4 linked regions of the Xenopus tropicalis genome follow. The protein of the gene in region 4 interacts with the protein of the main gene of each other region in a pairwise test. Links are inferred from orthologs where the notes say so. Each region holds a gene or a part of one and is shown on either strand. Other genes may lie near its edges.

Region 1 (4,629 bases), on a different chromosome or scaffold from region 4:
ATCTATCAGTCTGGTAAAGGTTATAAAGCCATTTCTAAAGCTTTGGGACTCCAGCGAACCACAGTGAGAGCCATTATCCACAAATGGCAAAAACATGGAACAGTGGTGAACCTTCCCAGGAGTGGCCGGCCGACCAAAATTACCCCAAGAGCGCAGAGACAACTCATCCGAGAGGCCACAAAAGACCCCAGGACAACATCTAAAGAACTGCAGGCCTCACTTGCCTCAATTAAGGTCAGTGTTCACGATTCCACCATAAGAAAGAGACTGGGCAAAAATGGCCTGCATGGCAGATTTCCAAGGCGCAAACCACTTTTAAGCAAAAAGAACATTAAGGCTCATCTCAATTTTGCTAAAAAACATCTCAATGATTGCCAAGACTTTTGGGAAAATACCTTGTGGACCGACGAGACAAAAGTTGAACTTTTTGGAAGGTGCGTGTCCCGTTACATCTGGCGTAAAAGTAACACAGCATTTCAGAAAAAGAACATCATACCAACAGTAAAATATGGTGGTGGTAGTGTGATGGTCTGGGGTTGTTTTGCTGCTTCAGGACCTGGAAGGCTTGCTGTGATAGATGGAACCATGAATTCTACTGTCTACCAAAAAATCATGAAGGAGAATGTCCGGCCATCTGTTCGTCAACTCAAGCTGAAGCGATCTTGGGTGCTGCAGCAGGACAATGACCCAAAACACACCAGCAAATCCACCTCTGAATGGCTGAAGAAAAACAAAATGAAGACTTTGGAGTGGCCTAGTCAAAGTCCTGACCTGAATCCTATTGAGATGTTGTGGCATGACCTTAAAAAGGCGGTTCATGCTAGAAAACCCTCAAATAAAGCTGAATTACAACAATTCTGCAAAGATGAGTGGGCCAAAATTCCTCCAGAGCGCTGTAAAAGACTTGTTGCAAGTTATCGCAAACGCTTGATTGCAGTTATTGCTGCTAAGGGTGGCCCAACCAGTTATTAGGTTCAGGGGGCAATTACTTTTTCACACAGGGCCATGTAGGTTTTCTCCCTAAATAATAAAAACCCTCATTTAAAAACTGCATTTTGTGTTTACTTGTGTTATCTTTGACTAATAGTTAAATGTGTTTGATGATCAGAAACATTTTGTGTGACAAACATGCAAAAGAATAAGAAATCAGGAAGGGGGCAAATAGTTTTTCACACCACTGTATATGCGCCAAATATAGTATTAAACTTAGTTTCACACCATGTTATCAGTACCTGCATAGCCAGTTAATCAAGAGAGGCCGAGAACTCCCAGTTGTACACATTAGAGATGGGAAGAATAAAAGAGGCACAGAAAACAGCTCTCCAGGCAGAATACATTCAATCCATTTATAAGGCAAAAGCCCAGAAGCCTGCATTTAATGAATACATTTATAAGGCAAGAGAATATAGTCTCTGCACCTGCTGAGAGTCTATGAATTTCTGTTAGCAACCCTTTTCCCCATACAGGGCGCACATTGCATATTTCCACTGTGACTGCAGAAGATGAAAAAGCATACCTTTTCTGCTATCCAACAGGGAGGGGGAAGGAGGGAGAAGGGGGAGCAAGTGGTTCCATTCAGCCGACAGAGAACCAGTGTGGGGCATGTCACTCACACAGTGCCTGGCAGCACATCCAATCACAAGCAGAGGGGGCGGGGCAGAAGATGGACTGCTAAGCAAGGAGGCAGGCTGCATGATCAGTAGCTGAATTGCCCAGGATGCCAGGATGAAAGGAAACACAACACAATGTGTGCCTTCCCATCTGTAAATAAGCCTTGCTTGTCTCCAGTGCCCCTGGACCCATACGCCTTGGAACAGGGCAAATGGGGCTTATGAATCAAACATGCAGTTCAGCCTGTAATTGTCATATAGATGAAAGAATACCATGCCCCACCCCCCTCCAAAAAAATTTGCATTCCCTTTTCCGCTCCAGGCGTTTCAATGAATATTCTCTCTTTTTTGTTCCTAAACTCAGAGCCCACACAACTGACAGCTGCTGTGCAAAAATAATTTTCCCTGTACAGAGCCCATGTCTCATATTTCTACTGTGACTGCAGAAAATGAAAAAAAAAAGCATACCTTTTCTGTTATCCAACAGGGAGGGGAAGGAGGGGGAGAAAACGTTTCCATTCAGCTAACGGAGAACCCAGTGTGCATCATGTCACTCACACAGGTTCTGGCAGCACATCCAATCAGAATTAGAGGAGGGCAGGGTGACAGATGGACAGCTAAGCAAGGAGGCAGGCTACAGGATTAGTAACTCCGTTGCCCAGGATGAAATAAAGAAGCGTTTGCAGGAATTTATGACCAGCAAACAATATTTATTCTAGGGATAGGATTGCCACTTAGCAACAGCTAATGGGTTTAGCAACTGCCTCCTGAAGATACACTGGGAAAATACATTTGTACCACTGGAACCACATTTCTGTGTTCCCCGGCAGAGGAGCTTGTGGCTTTAAAGAGGTGGGAGCCAGCACAGGTCTGATCTGTGCTTATTGGACAATGTGATATCACAGGAAGGGGAGTAGCTGAACGTGGAAGATTTTTTTTACCGGAAGTCTGTCGGATGACAATTCTAAAGATAAGGGAATGTTTTGAAAGAGCAGAAATTCAAATAAATATTATAAAACAAAGATGCAGTTCAGGTTGTAATTGTCATAAAGATGAAGAAAGGACAAAAGTTTTAGATAAGAAATAGATAAGTATAACATTTAACTACCTAAAAGAAGGTTTGGTTTTGTTGGTAAGCATTGTAACCCTATTACTATGGGAAGTATCCTGGGTTCTTTTGAAAACATCTATATTTATTAAAATGCTTCCTAACGTGAGGTTTAGCATTAATATCTTAGCCTTATATCCATCCTTAACTTCATGGATGAAATTTGGACCAAAGTGGAAGGAGGAAGCAACATTAGGGGAGATCTGAAGTCAGATGCTGCAGCTGAGCAAGACTTTCTTAGGCTGGTCACATGGTTTAAGGTTTGGCTAAAGGATACCATCAAATATTACATGTTACTGGAAATGAAATATTTCATAGTCTGCAGTGACTACTACTGTGTTTCATCCTAGTTACAGGATGTTTACAAACAAACTTTGAGGGTCTAGGCTCTAGGGCCTGCTTGTCATGGAAGGCAAATGGATAAAACTGAAATCCCTTACACTTAGGGGCCCATTCATTAAACCACAATTTTTATTTTTGAGAAAAAATTGTATTTTTTCTAATTTATTGAACTTTTCGTAATGTCCACGATAATTTCATTAAAATGTCACAACTTTTTCGTGGTTTTCGTTAACTTCCACAAGAAAGTCGTATTTTTCGTAAAGACTGCAATCATTTCGGAATTTATTCAAGCTTTGGTATCGTGACTATCTTTTGGCCAAGTTGGGAAGGCTTTCAAAATCATGCATTGAAGGTTTCAAAGCCAGAAAGGTTTTTGGGCCATTTCTGAACGTTCAGATCCGAAAATTTTGTGACTTTCAAAACGAACCATAATATTTTCGTACGACCGATAAAATAATTTTCGAACATCAGAAATTATCGTGGTTACTCTAAATTTTTGGCATATTGTGATTTTAACCACAAAAAAATTGTGTTAATCGGAAACGTAATACAGTTATAGGAGATATTTGAGCTGCCTGATAATATTTTAATGAACTGAGAAAATTTAAACCATCACTTTTCTTATGTTTACATAAAATGGCACCCAAAACACAAGGGTAGCCATGATTCCATATGAACCTGTTTAAAAGTTTTTGTGAAGTAATGAGCCCAGTCTTAGGTACTGGAATAAGTAGGGAGTGAAAAAAATATAGTTTTGGTAAAATAAACATCTTCGTCCTAACCAGGATATTTTGTATTTAGTCCATTGGGATAATAAGTTCTTACTTTTTTTCCCACATTGGAGGATAGTTCAATTTGTAAAGAGAGTATACCTGGAGCGTGAGGTTTATTCATATATTTTCAAATGGGTAGTTTTCCAGGAATCCAAATGGGTCTTTTTATTAACAGTGGAACCGTGAGATACTCCTAGTTTAACAACTCTAAGGGTGAAGACACATGGAGCTACTTAGTAGCAGCTACTTGTCACAGCTATTAATGTGCACTAAATAACATGGCTGCGTGCGCTAGGAGCTCTCTCCAGGTGCAGGTGGCTCACCTGCGATGAGGCTGTATTTAAAAAAAACAAAAAACACAGGATAGGATAAGAAAGAGTACATAAAAAAACTGTTGAAGGATAACTAGATGGAAAAGGAAGAACAAAACAAAAATTTTAAGCAACTGTATAACCATGGCAGCATAGCCAGGTACCCCATAGGCCAACTACTCTAAAGGAGATAAGGGGGGGGCTTACTGCACTGACAGTAAATCCAAGAAAAGGATTTACCAGTAAGAAAATCTCATTTTCTCTAGGCTGCTCTTCCTGTCCTGCAGACGTATGGGGACATCCAAAAGCTGTACCATAACTTGACTGGGAGGCAGGCCCGGATTTGTGGAGAAGCCATAAAGGCCTGGGCCTAGGGCGGCAGAAATGTAGGGGCGGCACGCCCCCCGCAACAGGGTTTTTAAAGTTTTTTTCCATTCGGAGCGGTGGGAACATCTTATGGGACTTTAAATGTGTGCGTATGCGTG
Region 2 (4,794 bases), on a different chromosome or scaffold from region 4:
TACGGAGCACGCAACAAATGAGTTTTATACTAAAAGACCTACAGTGTTATAGAGAGACTAACTGGAAAGATCACATAAGAAATCCTCTCAATATTTTTTTATTCTCTCCAGCTTTGCTCCCTGTACATTCTAACTGTAAAGTATATGAAGAGCTATAGGAACAATGTTAATAAATGAATAAATATTTAGAGTGTAACATTTAAAATTTGTGCATATCAGCAGTGTTAATTTTGTGTGCACAATGCAACTGTACTGCAAGTGCTTTTAAATGCTGCAGCATAATGCCCCTATGGTCCAATTCGAAAAGTTAGACTAATAATTACGATTTATTTCTATGGCATTATAATACTATTTCTGTGAAACCAAAATTTTTGCAATAAGCCCCTCTGCTAACTCTCATTTTAGCAAACTGGTCCAGTACACTGAGAAACCTTTATTTTTTAGTTTGTTCCATTTTCTTTTCCCAAACTGTCATTCTAAGAGACTTTTTAATATAAATAGATTACACAATTTCATTGTTTTTTTTTTTTTTTAATTATTTGTAAATGCGATTAATATTGAAAGCAGTATCTGTCTCTACACACAGCACTCTTGACTCTGGAAGAAAATAGATTTCTGTCACATTCCTTAAAGAATCAGAATAGAAAGGAAGAAACAAATACTGCTTTAAGTTAGGTGGAAGAGCCAAATAAATGAGCTCAGTGTGCATGGCAATGTTATCAGCCACTGAACTAAAATATAAATTCTAGTTTGTTTTTTCTTGACACAAGAGAAGGTAAAGTAGTGGAAGGGACCACTAAAATGATCTGATTCCATAAAAATTTCAATTTTTTTCCCATAAAAATCCACTTTTCTTTATTACTAGCTCTGGAATCAATTCCGATGCAAAACAGTTTACATCACCAATACTGCACCTTATTCTCCACTAGCTTTTAAAAACCAAAACAATCACTTGAAAGCACTAGCCCAAATAATCCTGTTTGTTAAACTTGTTAAAGTTGTTGATGAGAAACATCCTGTACCGAACATTTGTATACAAGGCAATGAAAGAACTAGCAATCTGTACCCAAATATAAACAGGGAGTTTTGAACTGTGGTTTCCCAGCTGGTATAAATACTCACCAGTTTCCCTGGCACGGCAACCATGCCAAAAACTCAGAACAGATTATTAATAAACAGGCAAGTATTTGCTTTCCCCTTTCTACCACCTTCCCTGTCTAGTCATAATGATTAGTATTAAGGAATCTCCCTAGATTTTAAGATTAGTTTTAGAGTCTGTGTTGGTTTGTTTTGGCTGGGTTAACCAAGTGCTGCACTATTGCAGCTAACCATGTGAAAAATATACACTGGAGATACCAAACTTATCTGGTAGCATTGTTTTGGAAAACAACTCCTAGTATTAAATATAAAATGTTATAAACTGCATTAACAGCTCAAGCAACAATATTATCTTGGGGTTGAACAGTATACACTATATATACTTTGCCTCATACAGACCCTTGGCAAACCCTCTCTGCCATAATCTACATTTGGCCCTGAACAAAATCCCTAAATGAAAAGGGTAGTTTGCCTTTAAATTTACTGTGTTACAGAATTGCCTGTACTTCACAAATTTTTAATTGGTCTTTTTTAAGTTTAAAGGAACAGTAACACTAAAAAATGAAAGAGCTTTAAAGTAATAAATATATAATGCACCAGTTGCCCTGCACTGGTAAAACTGGTGTGTTTGCTACAGTAACACTACTATAATTTATATAATAAGCTGCTGTGTAGCCACGGGGGCAGCCATTCAAGCTGGAAAAAAGGAGAAAAGGCACAGGTTACATAGCAGATAACAGATAAGTTCTGTAGAATACAATAGTGTTTTATCTGTTATCTGCTATGTGCCTGTGCCTTTTCCCCTTTGAATGGCTGCCCCCATGGCTACACAGCAGCTTATTTATATAAATTATAGTAGACTTTCTGAAGTAAACACACAACTTTTACCAGTGCAGGGCAGCAGCACATTATATTTTAGTTACTTTTATACACTTTCATTTTTTGGTGTTACTGTTCCTTTAATGATCTGCCTCCCTCTAGCTTCCAATTCAAAATGCTTTCTGGCAACATGGGGGGGGGGATCCCAGTCCCATACAACCTAAAATCTATTGGTGGCCTGTCAAGATACAATTGTATTATTACTTATCTTTCTATTCTGACACGCTTCTAGCCATGCTCTGGCCTGTCATCCAAAGCACTGCCCCGCTCTCTAATGTAAATAAAAACCTAGCAACCAGATAAGGGGCTGAAATTCCAAACTAGAGAAATGCTGAACTAAAGAGCTAAATATTTCAAAAAGCAATAATAAGAAAAAAAATAATGAAAGCCAACTGAAAATGGTCTCATAATAAGGTCTATGTTAGGGAAAGTTAATTTAAAGGCAAAGTAGCCCTCTGATTTCCAGCTGCTGAAGTCCCTTAGCCCAGAGAGATGCATGTAGGTGCAGCTGGGAGGCTACAGGTTAGCCTGGGGCAGAAGGAGAGAATGCGGCCAAGTTGCTTGCACACAGGCTACTACCCCTCTTGCTGCAGTGCTAGAGCCAAACCTCCGATCCGGGGCCTAGTGTACAGGCCGAAGCCTGAGCTAGAGTAGCGGCGCCGCTCGCTAGGCGATACCTGGTAGGGTTGGGAGTCCCTTCGGTCGTGACAGCTGCAAAAGACAAGAAGAGAGAAAGGCCCGTTAGAGCCGCTGAGGCGGATAAAGAGAGAGGGGGCACGGCTCCCTCCCGCCCCCACATCTCGGGGGGTTCGCAACAAAAATGGCGGCTCCGCCAGAGGGGAGGAAAGAGGGAGAAGGAGAAAGCGGTGCATTATTACCCATCACTGAGTCTCGCTTGTTTCCTTGCATACATTACCATCAATGCCGTGTGTGAGTGGGGTGTGGAGGCGACAGAGAGGAAGAGGGCTAGTGAGGAGGAGGAGGAGAATAATAATAAACCCGACCACCGGGAGGCGGCGGGGCTCGGAGACGTACAGCGGGGTCCGGGAAGTGGCCGGCTCTTTTCTCAAACCCTCAGGAGAAGATTTGGAGACTTTATAGAGGGGGTTCGATGTGTTTAATGGGGCGAGCGCCCGGGATCCATCTCCCCCCCGCACACACAGACACAGACGGCACGACGCAAGCAACGGGAGCGCGGATTCTCCGGGAACGCGCAGCGACGCGATCCCAACCAACTCATCCGCCCGCGCATGCGCAGCGCAGCCTTTCCTGCGTCTTTCCGCGCAGCCTCAGCCCAGCCTCACCTAGCTCCGCCCCCCACCTCTCCTAGCTCCGCCCTCGCCTCCCACAGATAGCTTCGTCATCGCTTTCTCTTTTCTAAAAGCTTTAATTGTTTCGTACAATTAAATAACGCGACAAATCGCCTTCTCAGGTTTTCGTGTACCGTGCAAACCAAGCTGGAGATATCTGATTTACATTCTGCCACGCAGGCGTTATTTTCCAACAATAACCCCCCCCCCCCAGCTTGTTTGCTGAATACAATACGTGTGTGCAAAACATACCTGAGAACTTGAGTATTATGTTTTATACACCTGAAGTTTCTGCCAGAGGACACAAGGGCATTTAGTAAGGGAAGTGTTAGTGGGGAAGCATAAAGGGTTGCATAGCCATGATCTCTAGACCCCCCCATGTACAAATCTCTGTGCCTAGCTCTTGAGGTGCTGTAATCTGCACTATGCCCTGTATTTAATGCCAGTTCCTTAGCGTCTCCTGCTTTAGGCTGATGCCACATGTGACGTTTTTACGCTGCGTATTTTCTCAGCCTAAAAGTGCCGCACAAGCCACACAGCCCCTGCCTGTGGCATACCCCCCAACTGTCCCGTTTTCTATAGCTCATCCCGCTGTCCCGGATAGTTCCCTGAATGTCCCGCATTTTCGTAATAGATTACAGAAATGCGGGACATTCATAGAAGGATCCGTGACAGCGGGATGAGCGCTCCAACTCCTTGCGCTGCTTCTCTCATGTGGCTCCTTCGCCGGCGGTCCCTGGCCCTTTTATAAGGTTGCGCCCGTGCGTAATGACGTCACACATACACACGGGGCGCAACCTTATAAAGTGTCGGAGCGCGATGGGGGCTCTGTGTTTGGGGGCCTCTGTGTATGGGGGGCTCTGTGTATGGGGGGCACTGTGTATGGGGGGGCACTGTGTTTGGGGGGGCACTATGTATGGGGGGCACTGTGTATAGGGGGCACTGTGTATAAAGGGTACTGTATATAAAGGGTACTGTATATAAAGGGTACTGTGTATGGGGGGTACTGTATATGGGGGGGCTCTGTGTATAAAGGGTACTGTATATAAAGGGTACTGTGTATGGGGGGTACTGTATATGGGGGGGCTCTGTGTATAAAGGGTACTGTGTATGGGGGGTACTGTATATGGGGGGGCTCTGTATGAAAGGCACTGTGTATGGGGGGCTCTGTGGGCTTCCTTAGGTAGTACAGTATGAGGGTATAGCACATTTGCATCTGATCCCGCCATTTCAACTATATAAAAGGAGTTGAAAAGGTTCTAATAGTGCGAAATAGTAAAAAATGCCGCGTATTTCCGCTAGGTCTGGCAGCTGCCTTTGTGTATACATAGGAATAGGTTGCTGTGCAAAAACAGTGTATTTCGGCTTGAAAAATCCCTGATAAGGCGTTTTCTAGCGTATTTACGCATTGTGTGGTTTCCTTCGAGTCTTTTCAAGTAATTTCTATGGATGATGATATCGTGTGTTTTTCAGCCGCCGAGAGAATTAAAATACGCAGCGTAAAAAC
Region 3 (4,709 bases), on a different chromosome or scaffold from region 4:
GCACTTCCTTCCTTTAATTACCCTGCTCAGGAAGCAGGGCCAGAAATGCCCCCATTGGCTTTTTTGCCAGTTGCATTAAAGTGTACTTGCAAGTGCAATTTTGTAATATATGGTGATTTGGCTTTGCTTACTAAGCTACTAAACATCATACTTGGATTCCCTTGACAGTTCTGCAGATGTATTTTCCAGGCACATTATTAGGCAGGATACTGTACAGCCCACTCACTTTCATAATGAGTCTGAATAATGACTTCCACATTCAGGACATAGCATGTAGCAGAGTCTGGATAGGATAGCCATTGAGGAATACATTTTAGGGAATGAGTAGTTCCATAGCTTTAAGAGGAGAAAGGAAAGATAGAGGCGACTGCTCTGGTCCTTATAGCACCTGTATACGGCATGATTGGTGCGTAGCAGGAACAAGATGGAATCAGCACGTACCATTTTATATCAGTGCTGTGGCTGTCAGCAGTGCTGTGAGTTGTGCTGAAGGGCCAAAAGTTGGACAATCCAACATTACTGTATATAAAACCTGGGCCCCTCCACAATTAAAGATGGTTGCAACTAGATCATTAATGCAAGATGCTTAAGGGCTTCAGTGAACTCAGTCCTGGCAGAGACGCACTGTGCATATTTGTGTGAGTATTGAAAGGAGAATATATCAGATTTAGAAGTAAGGTTTATTTTCAGTTTGCACAGATGAATGTGAGGGTATAGCAGTTCTAATTTTTACCCACAGTGGGAACTCTGAAACTTGGAGGTGGTTGTAGCTCCAGGGATCCCCTGCCTCAATACACACACTTGCATGTGATTTGGCACAGGAGGTGGGAACAGCGCACTAGTAGAAGTATAGATGCAAGTCCAGGAATCTGACTCCTTATCCAGAAGCCCATTATCCAGAGAGTTCTGAATTACGGAAAGGCCATCTCCCATAGACTCCATTTAAATTAAATAATTCAAATTTTTTAAAAATAATTTTCTGTAATAATAAAACAGAACCTTGTACTTGATCCCAACTAAGATATAATTAATCCTTATTGGAGCCAAAACAATCCTATTGGGTTTAATTACTGTTTAAATATTTTTTTTGGCAGACTTAAGGTAGGCGATCCAAATTACGGAAAGACCCCTTATCCGGAAAACCCCAGGTCCCAAGCATTCTGTATAATAGGTCCCATACCTGTACCTATAATAAATGGCATCAGTTCACACAATGACTTCATACAAAAGCAGTTGCTGTTAAACTACAACCCTCTGAATCACCTTTGCCATCATTGAACAGTGAGATGTGTACTTCTGCATCAACTTAAGGGTTGCAGGTTTGGCAATACTGAAATACAGTGTCTATCTTGCTCTATTATCACCATGTGGCTCTACTGTTGCGGTATTACCCTGTTACCCCACCAACATCCTATATCTAACTAATGCTCTGCAATGCCCAGGGCAGTTCCTCCTATTAGCAACTCCCAAACAACAGCTGTGCAAGTAATTCATATATTATGTACTGTTTCCCTGTACTAGTAAAAGTTGTGCATTTGCTACAGAAATCCTACTATAGTTAAAGGAACAGTAACACCAAAAAATGAAAGAGTTTTAAAGTAAATTAAATATAATGTACTGTTGGCTTACACTGGTAAAAGTTGTGTGTTTGCTACAGTAACTCTACTATAGGTTATATATAATGAGCTGCTGTGTAGCCCCGGGGGCAGCCATTCAAGCTGGAAAAAAGGAGAAGAGGCACAGGTTACATAGCAGATAACGGATAAGCTCTGTAGAATACAATAGTGTTTTATCTGTTATCTGCTATGTGCCTGTGCCTTTTCTCCTTTGAATGGCTGCCCCCATGGCTACACAGCTGCATTCTTTATATAAACCATAGTAGTGTTTCTGAGGCAAACACACCAGTTGTACCAGTGCAGGGCAGCAGCACATTATATTGGAATTTCTTTTATACACTTGAATTTTTTGGTGTTACTGTTCCTTTAATATAAACAAAACTGCTGTGTAGCCATGGGGGCAGCTATTCAACCTTTAAAAGGAGAAAAGGCACAGGTTACATAGCAGAAAACCAATAAGCTGTGTAGATTCCAATTGTATGTTACAGTGTTTATCTGTTATCTACTATGTAACCTGTGTGTTATCCTTTTTTTCAGCTAAAATAGCTGCCCCCATGGTTACACAGCAGCTGATTTATAGAAACTATATTAGGGTTTCTAAAGCAAACACACAAGTTTTACCAGTGCAGGGCAACAGTACATTACAGTAAGTAAAGTAAGGAGGAGTAATCCACAAAATATAAAGAGAAATGTAAGTGATGAAGAATAATGACTAAAATTAATGTAAAACAAACCCAATTACAGAGGTAGTTAGCCTTTTAACTTTTAGTATGAGGCATAATGAGACAGTTTGCAATTGGTCTTCATTTTTCAGATTTTGTGTTTTTTTTAATTATTTAGCTTTTTAATCAATAGCACTCCAGTCACGTTCTACTTTCTGGTCCGCAGAGTCAAACAGATCAGCAGTCCAGCAGGTATGTTCAGCACAATCTCTATTCACTGAGCCAGTGTTAAACAAAGGGGTTGCGTGTCCCTTTAAATTGGAAAACGGAAAGAAGTAGTAATAGTGCTATAAGGTGGTTTATATAACAGTGAATGGGAGACAGTAGGGATGGGTTTGGGCAAAAAAAACCCCTAAAGCTGCTAAATTATTTTTTAAAACTGCAGTTGTCAATTGTCAATGTCCAAGAGTATTCTCCTTGGCAGGAATAGTACATATATAAGCATAATCATGCAGTATGCTGGGAATAAAAAGGCTGGCTCTTTAGGGGAGTAAAAGGCTTGAAAGGAACATATAGGCTCTGGAACATTCTCCTTTTGTTCATAGTGTTACAGTGAGCTCAAACCAAATGTAGCCAGAAAGAGAAATGCAAAAATCACAATATACAAAAATAATTCTCTGCACAGAAAAACTAATTATATTGACAGACTAAGACATGCTAAATAAAAATATGGGATGAGTGATTCAGTTAATCAGTTCTATATATATGTGCCTTGCCTTTTCCCTAATACTAAGCATGATGTTCCAGCTCACTTACCTGGAGCCCTTGTCAGCGTGAGAGGCGTCGGAGGTTATGATTGGAGTGACAGACAAATGGCTTTTTCAAATGCCCTTTGTAGTGGGGCTGTCCCAAGCATGTGGTGGACGTTTTCTTTTAGAAACCAGACCCCACCGTCTGGCCCTGATCATATTGTATTGGGCAGGGGGCTGGGGAGGAGGGGGGGATTATCCAACTTCAATAAAAGGAAAAGGGAGAGGAACAGCAATCACCCTATGGAATATTTTTCTGTCCTCACATGTGCATTAAATTAGCACATACACACACACACACACACATATATATATACATATATCTATCTATCTATATATATTTGCAATTGTATGGTAAGTCTTTCAAGCACTTATTGATAATATACTACAGGTGTGGGATCCCTTATCCGGAAACCCATTATACAGAAAGCTTTGAATTACGAAAAAGCATGTCTCCCATAGACTCCATTTTAATCAAATAATTTTAAAACTGATTTCCTTTTTCTCTGTAGTAATAAAAGATATAAATAATCCTTATTGTATGCAAAACAATCCTATTGGGTTTAATTAATGTTTTATTGTTTTTTTTTAGTAGACTTAAGGTATGGAGATTGAAATTACAGAAAGACCTCTTATCTGGAATACCCTTGGTCCCGCACATTCTGGATAAGGGGTCCTATACCTGTATCATAAAAATATTTAGGAATCCTATATGGGTTAGCACTTGTTGGGCTCATATTAATATAAAATGAACAGTGTTTCATTTAAGGCTAATAGCACACGAAGAGCATTGACTCCCATACGCTCCTTGCTATAACTGTACTGACTGGCACTGCCTCGGCCTGTGTATATATTGTAACTATAAAGTGCCTGTGGTTTATTTTTTAACACAGGTGTATACTGCCCCTTTAAGCAGTTTGATTGAGCCAGAGGAGAGAGTGCCCTCTAGTTGAAGAAATAAGCTGCAAATAATAGCTGCGATCAATAATAGATGTGCAATCTCGGCATGTGTGTATGGCACAGATTATCTTTTCCAAAGTGTGGGAGGGAGCCTAAAAGATTTTGCCCAATGGTCTGGTAACATCTGCTTTTGTCATTTATTGTATTGCTTTGCTTGATGCACACACAGCATATACACAAACACTTGCAGTTTGGCATTTTACAGTTTTTCACTCCCCAGATATTAAAGGGGAAATCAACCCAAGCACAGATTAAGCTCTTTGAAAAGTAAACATAATTTCAAGCAACATTATAGCAATTAACAATTACAACAATTAAAAATATGCAGCCTTTTCATAATTTTTAATGTAATAATATGGTTTGGAACAGTTACCTAAGCCTAGCCCCCTGTTCTCCTGCTGGTCTGGCTGACTATAAGTCTAAAAGAAAATGTAACAGTAGCTGACTGCTCTCAGCCTGCATCCTCCAAATCCCACAATCCCGTGCACACGGGTTGTCAATAAGGAATAGAACATTGCAGTGCAATGCATTGTGGGGTATGTAGTTCCTGCATGCTATCTGTAAACTTTAGAGAACTTGTTACAATCTGAAACATACTTTTTAAAGGAACAGATTACAGCAGGGGTGGCCAAAACGTTGATCGCAGTCCACCAGTCAATCCC
Region 4 (4,651 bases):
TATATATCATTACAAATGTTACACTGTTTCAGACTATCAGTGTTTGGAAAGAAAATATTTTAAAACTGAGATTATATGAACTCTCTCTTATGCATACATAGTTCTACAAAAAGAAGGGGCTATTGGCTTTTATTAATGTACTGGTGCATGTGTTAAGATATGTCACCTATAAGGGGAAGAACCCATGGAGCGAGTTAGTTGCCCGAAATAGATCTCTGCTATCGTGGGCAACTAACTGCTCCAAAAAGGCTTTCCATCGGCAACAGTCGCGGTAGGGTCGGACAGGGGGTTGCAGGGCCCACCGAGGCTTCTGCCTCGGGGGCCCCTGCACTCCCCAATGGCCCCCGCCGCAGCTTTTCAACCCCCCGCCGGCCCTCTCCCCTGAGAGCGGCTAATTTAAACTTACAGTCAGGGGAGGCGGGAGGGAGACCAGCGGCACAATGGGTTTTTTCCCGGTGTCCCAGTCCGACCCTGGTCGCTGGTGAAAAGCCCTTCACATTGCTTTGGTAATCCAAAGTCACGCAAAATTTCCTCCTCCTCCCATCATGGGCAACTAACTCACTCTGTGGGTTTCTACTCTAAGGGCAGTGGCTCACAGGGAAATTTGTCGCCCGCGAGAAATCTTCGCTATTGCGGGAGACTCCCCGACAATATAAATCACTGGTGGGATGGCATATGCATCACTTCGGTTGCCTGAAGTTGCCTCACAAGGAAACTTTGGAAAACCAAAGCAACTTGTAAGCCATCCCATCAGCGATTTACATTCTTGCCGGTAGGATGGCATGTTGGTATTAGTCTCCCGCAATGGCGAAGATTTATCTCGGGCAACTAATCTCCCTGTGTGCCACTGCCCTAAAGGCAAAGACACATCAAGCTACCTAGTAGTAGCTACTTGTTAAGGGCTCTGGGACACGGGGAGATTAGTCGCCTGCGACAAAATCTCCCGTGTCTCGGGCGACTAATCTCCCCAGATTGCCATTTCGGCAAATCGCCTGCGCAGCGTGTGCCATCCCACCGGCGACTTACATTTTCGCTGGTGGGATGGCAATCCGGGGAGATTAGTCGCCCGAGACAGGGGAGATTTGTCGCGTGCGACTAATCTCCCTGTGTGCCAGAGCCCTAAGGCTACTAAATGCCAGAAAATACCCTGCCATAGACTATACTGAGAACTGCCTGCGCTAAAACACACGTAGACAGTAATTAGTAAATCATCAGAATTGTCTGTTTTTGTAGCAGTGACAAGTTGCTGCTACTAGTAACTCTGTGTGTCTTCACCCTTAGAACATACGTTGTCACATGACATAACTAGCCACCTTACTCCTAGGTACAGATTAGAATCTTGGACTCATTTGCCTGGGCTAGTTCTAAAAACAAACGGCCTAATATAAAAAAATATATATATATCTTCCCGTGTAAAGTGCCGCGAATAACCGAGAATCTACCTTTCACTCCTAACAGTAAGTGCTTATTTAAAACTATTTTCCACAGAGCGTGCAACTTTTGACGAGTATTGAAGGGTTAATGTCAGGAGGGGGATGGGCATAGTCTCACCTCCTCAGTCTCATTGCGTAAGCAGGTGGGCGTGGTGTGACCGTATCCGAATTCCTATTGGCTGGGAGGCGCTGCCAGTCCCTCACTACGTGTTGGCCCTTGTGGTTTCCCGTCATTCTAAGACGGGACGGGCTAGAGTCAGTGGCAAGGGTACAATCCGGAGGGGCTCCTAGGAAATATCGAGCACGGAGTATTACAGTAATCTCGTTACGGAGGAGATACCGGCCTGGGGCAAGGGGGCCAGCATGATGGAGATCGAGATGCCCCTGCCACTGCAGTCACAACAGGTGGGCAAGAGGTCCCGGGGGGCGGTGGTCTGTATATGACGTGTGTATGACGTGAGCAGTCATTAGAAACGAGGAAATGGCAGAATCATACGCGGGGATGGTTGTATGGTGTAGGGCGGAAAGGATATCTGCTGTGGAAAAGTAATAAAGTCCTATTATACTTTCGCCTGAGTCGCTTCCGCAACTGCTTGCATTCCATCCACAGACCAAGGCTGCACATCCCTCATTGATGTGAACCCCAGAATTCTTTTCAGAGGGGGCTCCACTTGTCTTATTCCGGCAAAAATCCAAAAAGTAGGAAAAAAGCTTCAGCAGATTTACTGCAAACCATTTATTGTGGGTTATTCCGGCCCTGCTCACACTGTACCTGGGAGCGTCTGAAGTTCAAGCTGTAAAGTACTTTACTGTGGGCTTAATGGTGCTGTGAGCAGCGCCCCCTATCTGTCAGTGCAGCTGCCCCTCCTCCCACCGGATGACTGCTCATGTGATCACTGCATCACTTGATCTCTCCAGAAGGACAGTCCTATTCCCCAATATGGGGACTGGTTGGATGTACCTGACAGAGCTGATAACCTGCTTCTATGGCACAAGGGAAAATGGATGGTAAAATAGTGCAGAAATGAGTTGATATTCATAAGATAGAGGGGTTAATAGGCAAGCAAGAGGTTACTGAGCAAAGGTTTGGGTTGGAAATAAAGAGGCATACAAATAAGTTGCAGAGGTGGGGTCAGATAATAAGGGGAAGGAACAAACCGTGAGAAAAAGCTGAAAAATGGAGTGTTATTTCAGTACAGAGAGATTAGTGATAGGACCTTGTCCATTAGGGATCGTGATTAATGGCCGGATAGTGTGTTAGATCTTGGTGGCCATGACAGTAAAAGCCATGTACTAATGTAGAGTGCTTATTGCATGTTTAAGTACTGAATGAACATGATAGGCTAAGCTATTTCTTGCATGTGGCTGCTGCAGAACAGCTTTGTTTCACCTGTTATTAATAGCTTTAAGTGGCCTACTCATTACTAACATGGCCTTAACATCGTATTGTACAGCGCTGCGGAATATGTTGGCGCTTTATAAATAAATGTTAATAACATCGGACTGGCTGACCTAGCACTCTTTCATCATGCCTGCCCATTACTGCTGTATACCACAAAGGTTAAAAGGAGATACAGGTATCGGACCCCTTATCCGGAAACCCGTTATCCAGAAAGCTCCGAATTACGGAATGCCCATCTCCCATAGACTCCATTTTAATCAAATAATTCAGAATTTTAAAACTCATTTCCTTTTTCTATGTAGAAATAAAACAGAACCTTGTAATTGATTCCAACTAAGATATAATTAATCCTTATTGGATGCAAAACAATCCTATTTGGTTTAATGTTTTATTGATTTTTTAGTAGACTTAAGGTATTGAGTTTCAAATTACGGAAAGACCCCTTATCCGGAATACCCTTGGTCCCGAGCATTCTGGATAATGGGTCCTATGCCTGTACTAGAAACTGCAGTTCATCAGTATATGCATGGTGTCTGTGCCTTTTATACAGTGTTTATGGTTTTTGCCCCATTGCACACTTTAATGGGTTTAGTGCTGTGTGCCAGGCTGCTGAGAATAGCAAATGTGGAATTTTGCTTTTTGAGAAACAATTAGTGCCATTTAAATTCCTATTTCAGATCCTAGACCGAAATAGTCAAGCCTGAATAGATATTCTATGATTAGCAGAACTTGGGGCCTTTTTTTGTGTTTTTGCAGTAATTGCACATCCAGCACAGACCAAATTAGTTGACTGTCTCTAGTGGTATCCTGTCAGACCCCTGTTTCCATTGGCCCTTGGAATATAGTCACCCTCCTCACTGCTTTCTGCTTGGCTTCCTTCTGTTCTCTCTCCCAGTTCCACTCCCTGTGTTATACAATTAGTCTGCCCAGAGTTTGCTTGCTCTCTCTGACAACTGAATGTGCACAATCACCCAGGGGATCCCTAGGGGGTTTCAATATGTACAGGAGATAGGCCAAAACTCCTCTTTATGGTCTGTTTTGAAACTTAAAAATATACAGAACTAGGATCTGTTTTAAATTTTTTTTTATAAACCATAAGTTTAATGTGAGAAATCATCATTTATTTGCCAACAATTTGTGCATGTAGTAGATTTATTTTTTATATGAACACCATCTTATCAGTGTAATTGTTTCACCTTGTTAAACTGAACCCTTTATCATTAAGTTAATATAGGAGTGCCCTTTGAGTTGCGTCATTAATAAAATTTACAGTTTACCGAACGTGGGCTCAGTGTAAATACTAGAATAATAATTGACTTTATTAATATGTGACCATTTTTGCAGCACAGCATAAAAACTTGCCTACAGCAGAGCCTTACAGCCTTAACCTTTAATGTGAATATTTAAAATAAGGCCAGGATGAGTCAGTTTCACAGGTCTGTGATTACTGCAGAATTCCAGGTAGAGTTGAAAAGAAATCCTAATTATTGCAGTTAGAGTTGCCTCTGTTTCCAGAGAAAGGGAAAAAAATGCCTTTTTTTTTTTTTTTTAGCTTTTACTAACTACTTCAGTATTAAGCATCTTCTTCTTATTATTCATTTACTGGTAGGCTGATAAATGCTGGGCAGGTAAGAACAGTGTTTGAAGTAATTCAAAACACTGATTGGCTATGTTAAAGCTCAAATGGTCAATGTTATTGTATGGTTTGCACACACTTTAACATTAAGGACATACAGACACTTTTTCAGAGGTGAATAAGTTGCTGCAGTGCATGCTGGAAGTTCTCCGCCATGTTCTGTCAGTCATAAGGAAGTCA

The links. The genes of interacting proteins can lie anywhere in the genome.
Region 1: the proteins of nfe2l2 (region 4) and mafg interact in binary tests that used the Homo sapiens proteins (3 or more experiments, as listed by UniProt). The link is inferred for Xenopus tropicalis from reciprocal best matches to the Homo sapiens genes NFE2L2 and MAFG.
Region 2: the proteins of nfe2l2 (region 4) and wac interact in a two-hybrid assay, tested with the Homo sapiens proteins (2 studies listed by BioGRID and IntAct). The two-hybrid records come from large-scale screens. The link is inferred for Xenopus tropicalis from reciprocal best matches to the Homo sapiens genes NFE2L2 and WAC.
Region 3: the proteins of nfe2l2 (region 4) and tnnt1 interact in binary tests that used the Homo sapiens proteins (3 or more experiments, as listed by UniProt). The two-hybrid records come from large-scale screens. The link is inferred for Xenopus tropicalis from reciprocal best matches to the Homo sapiens genes NFE2L2 and TNNT1.

Annotation. Positions count from the first base shown.
Region 1 is NC_030686.2:27,981,667-27,986,295, forward strand, and holds the start of mafg (transcription factor MafG), read right to left. Parts: upstream 3,206-4,629; 5' UTR 2,130-3,205; coding exon 2,079-2,129; intron 1-2,078. UniProt on the Homo sapiens protein: Since they lack a putative transactivation domain, the small Mafs behave as transcriptional repressors when they dimerize among themselves.
Region 2 is NC_030682.2:24,252,504-24,257,297, forward strand, and holds the start of wac (WW domain-containing adapter protein with coiled-coil), read right to left. Parts: upstream 3,206-4,794; 5' UTR 2,897-3,205; coding exon 2,856-2,896; intron 2,689-2,855; coding exon 2,655-2,688; intron 1-2,654.
Region 3 is NC_030683.2:104,578,710-104,583,418, reverse strand, and holds the start of tnnt1 (troponin T, slow skeletal muscle), read right to left. Parts: upstream 3,206-4,709; 5' UTR 3,095-3,205; intron 1-3,094. UniProt on the Homo sapiens protein: Troponin T is the tropomyosin-binding subunit of troponin, the thin filament regulatory complex which confers calcium-sensitivity to striated muscle actomyosin ATPase activity.
Region 4 is NC_030685.2:65,694,076-65,698,726, reverse strand, and holds the start of nfe2l2 (nuclear factor erythroid 2-related factor 2), read left to right. Parts: upstream 1-1,709; 5' UTR 1,710-1,796; coding exon 1,797-1,838; intron 1,839-4,651.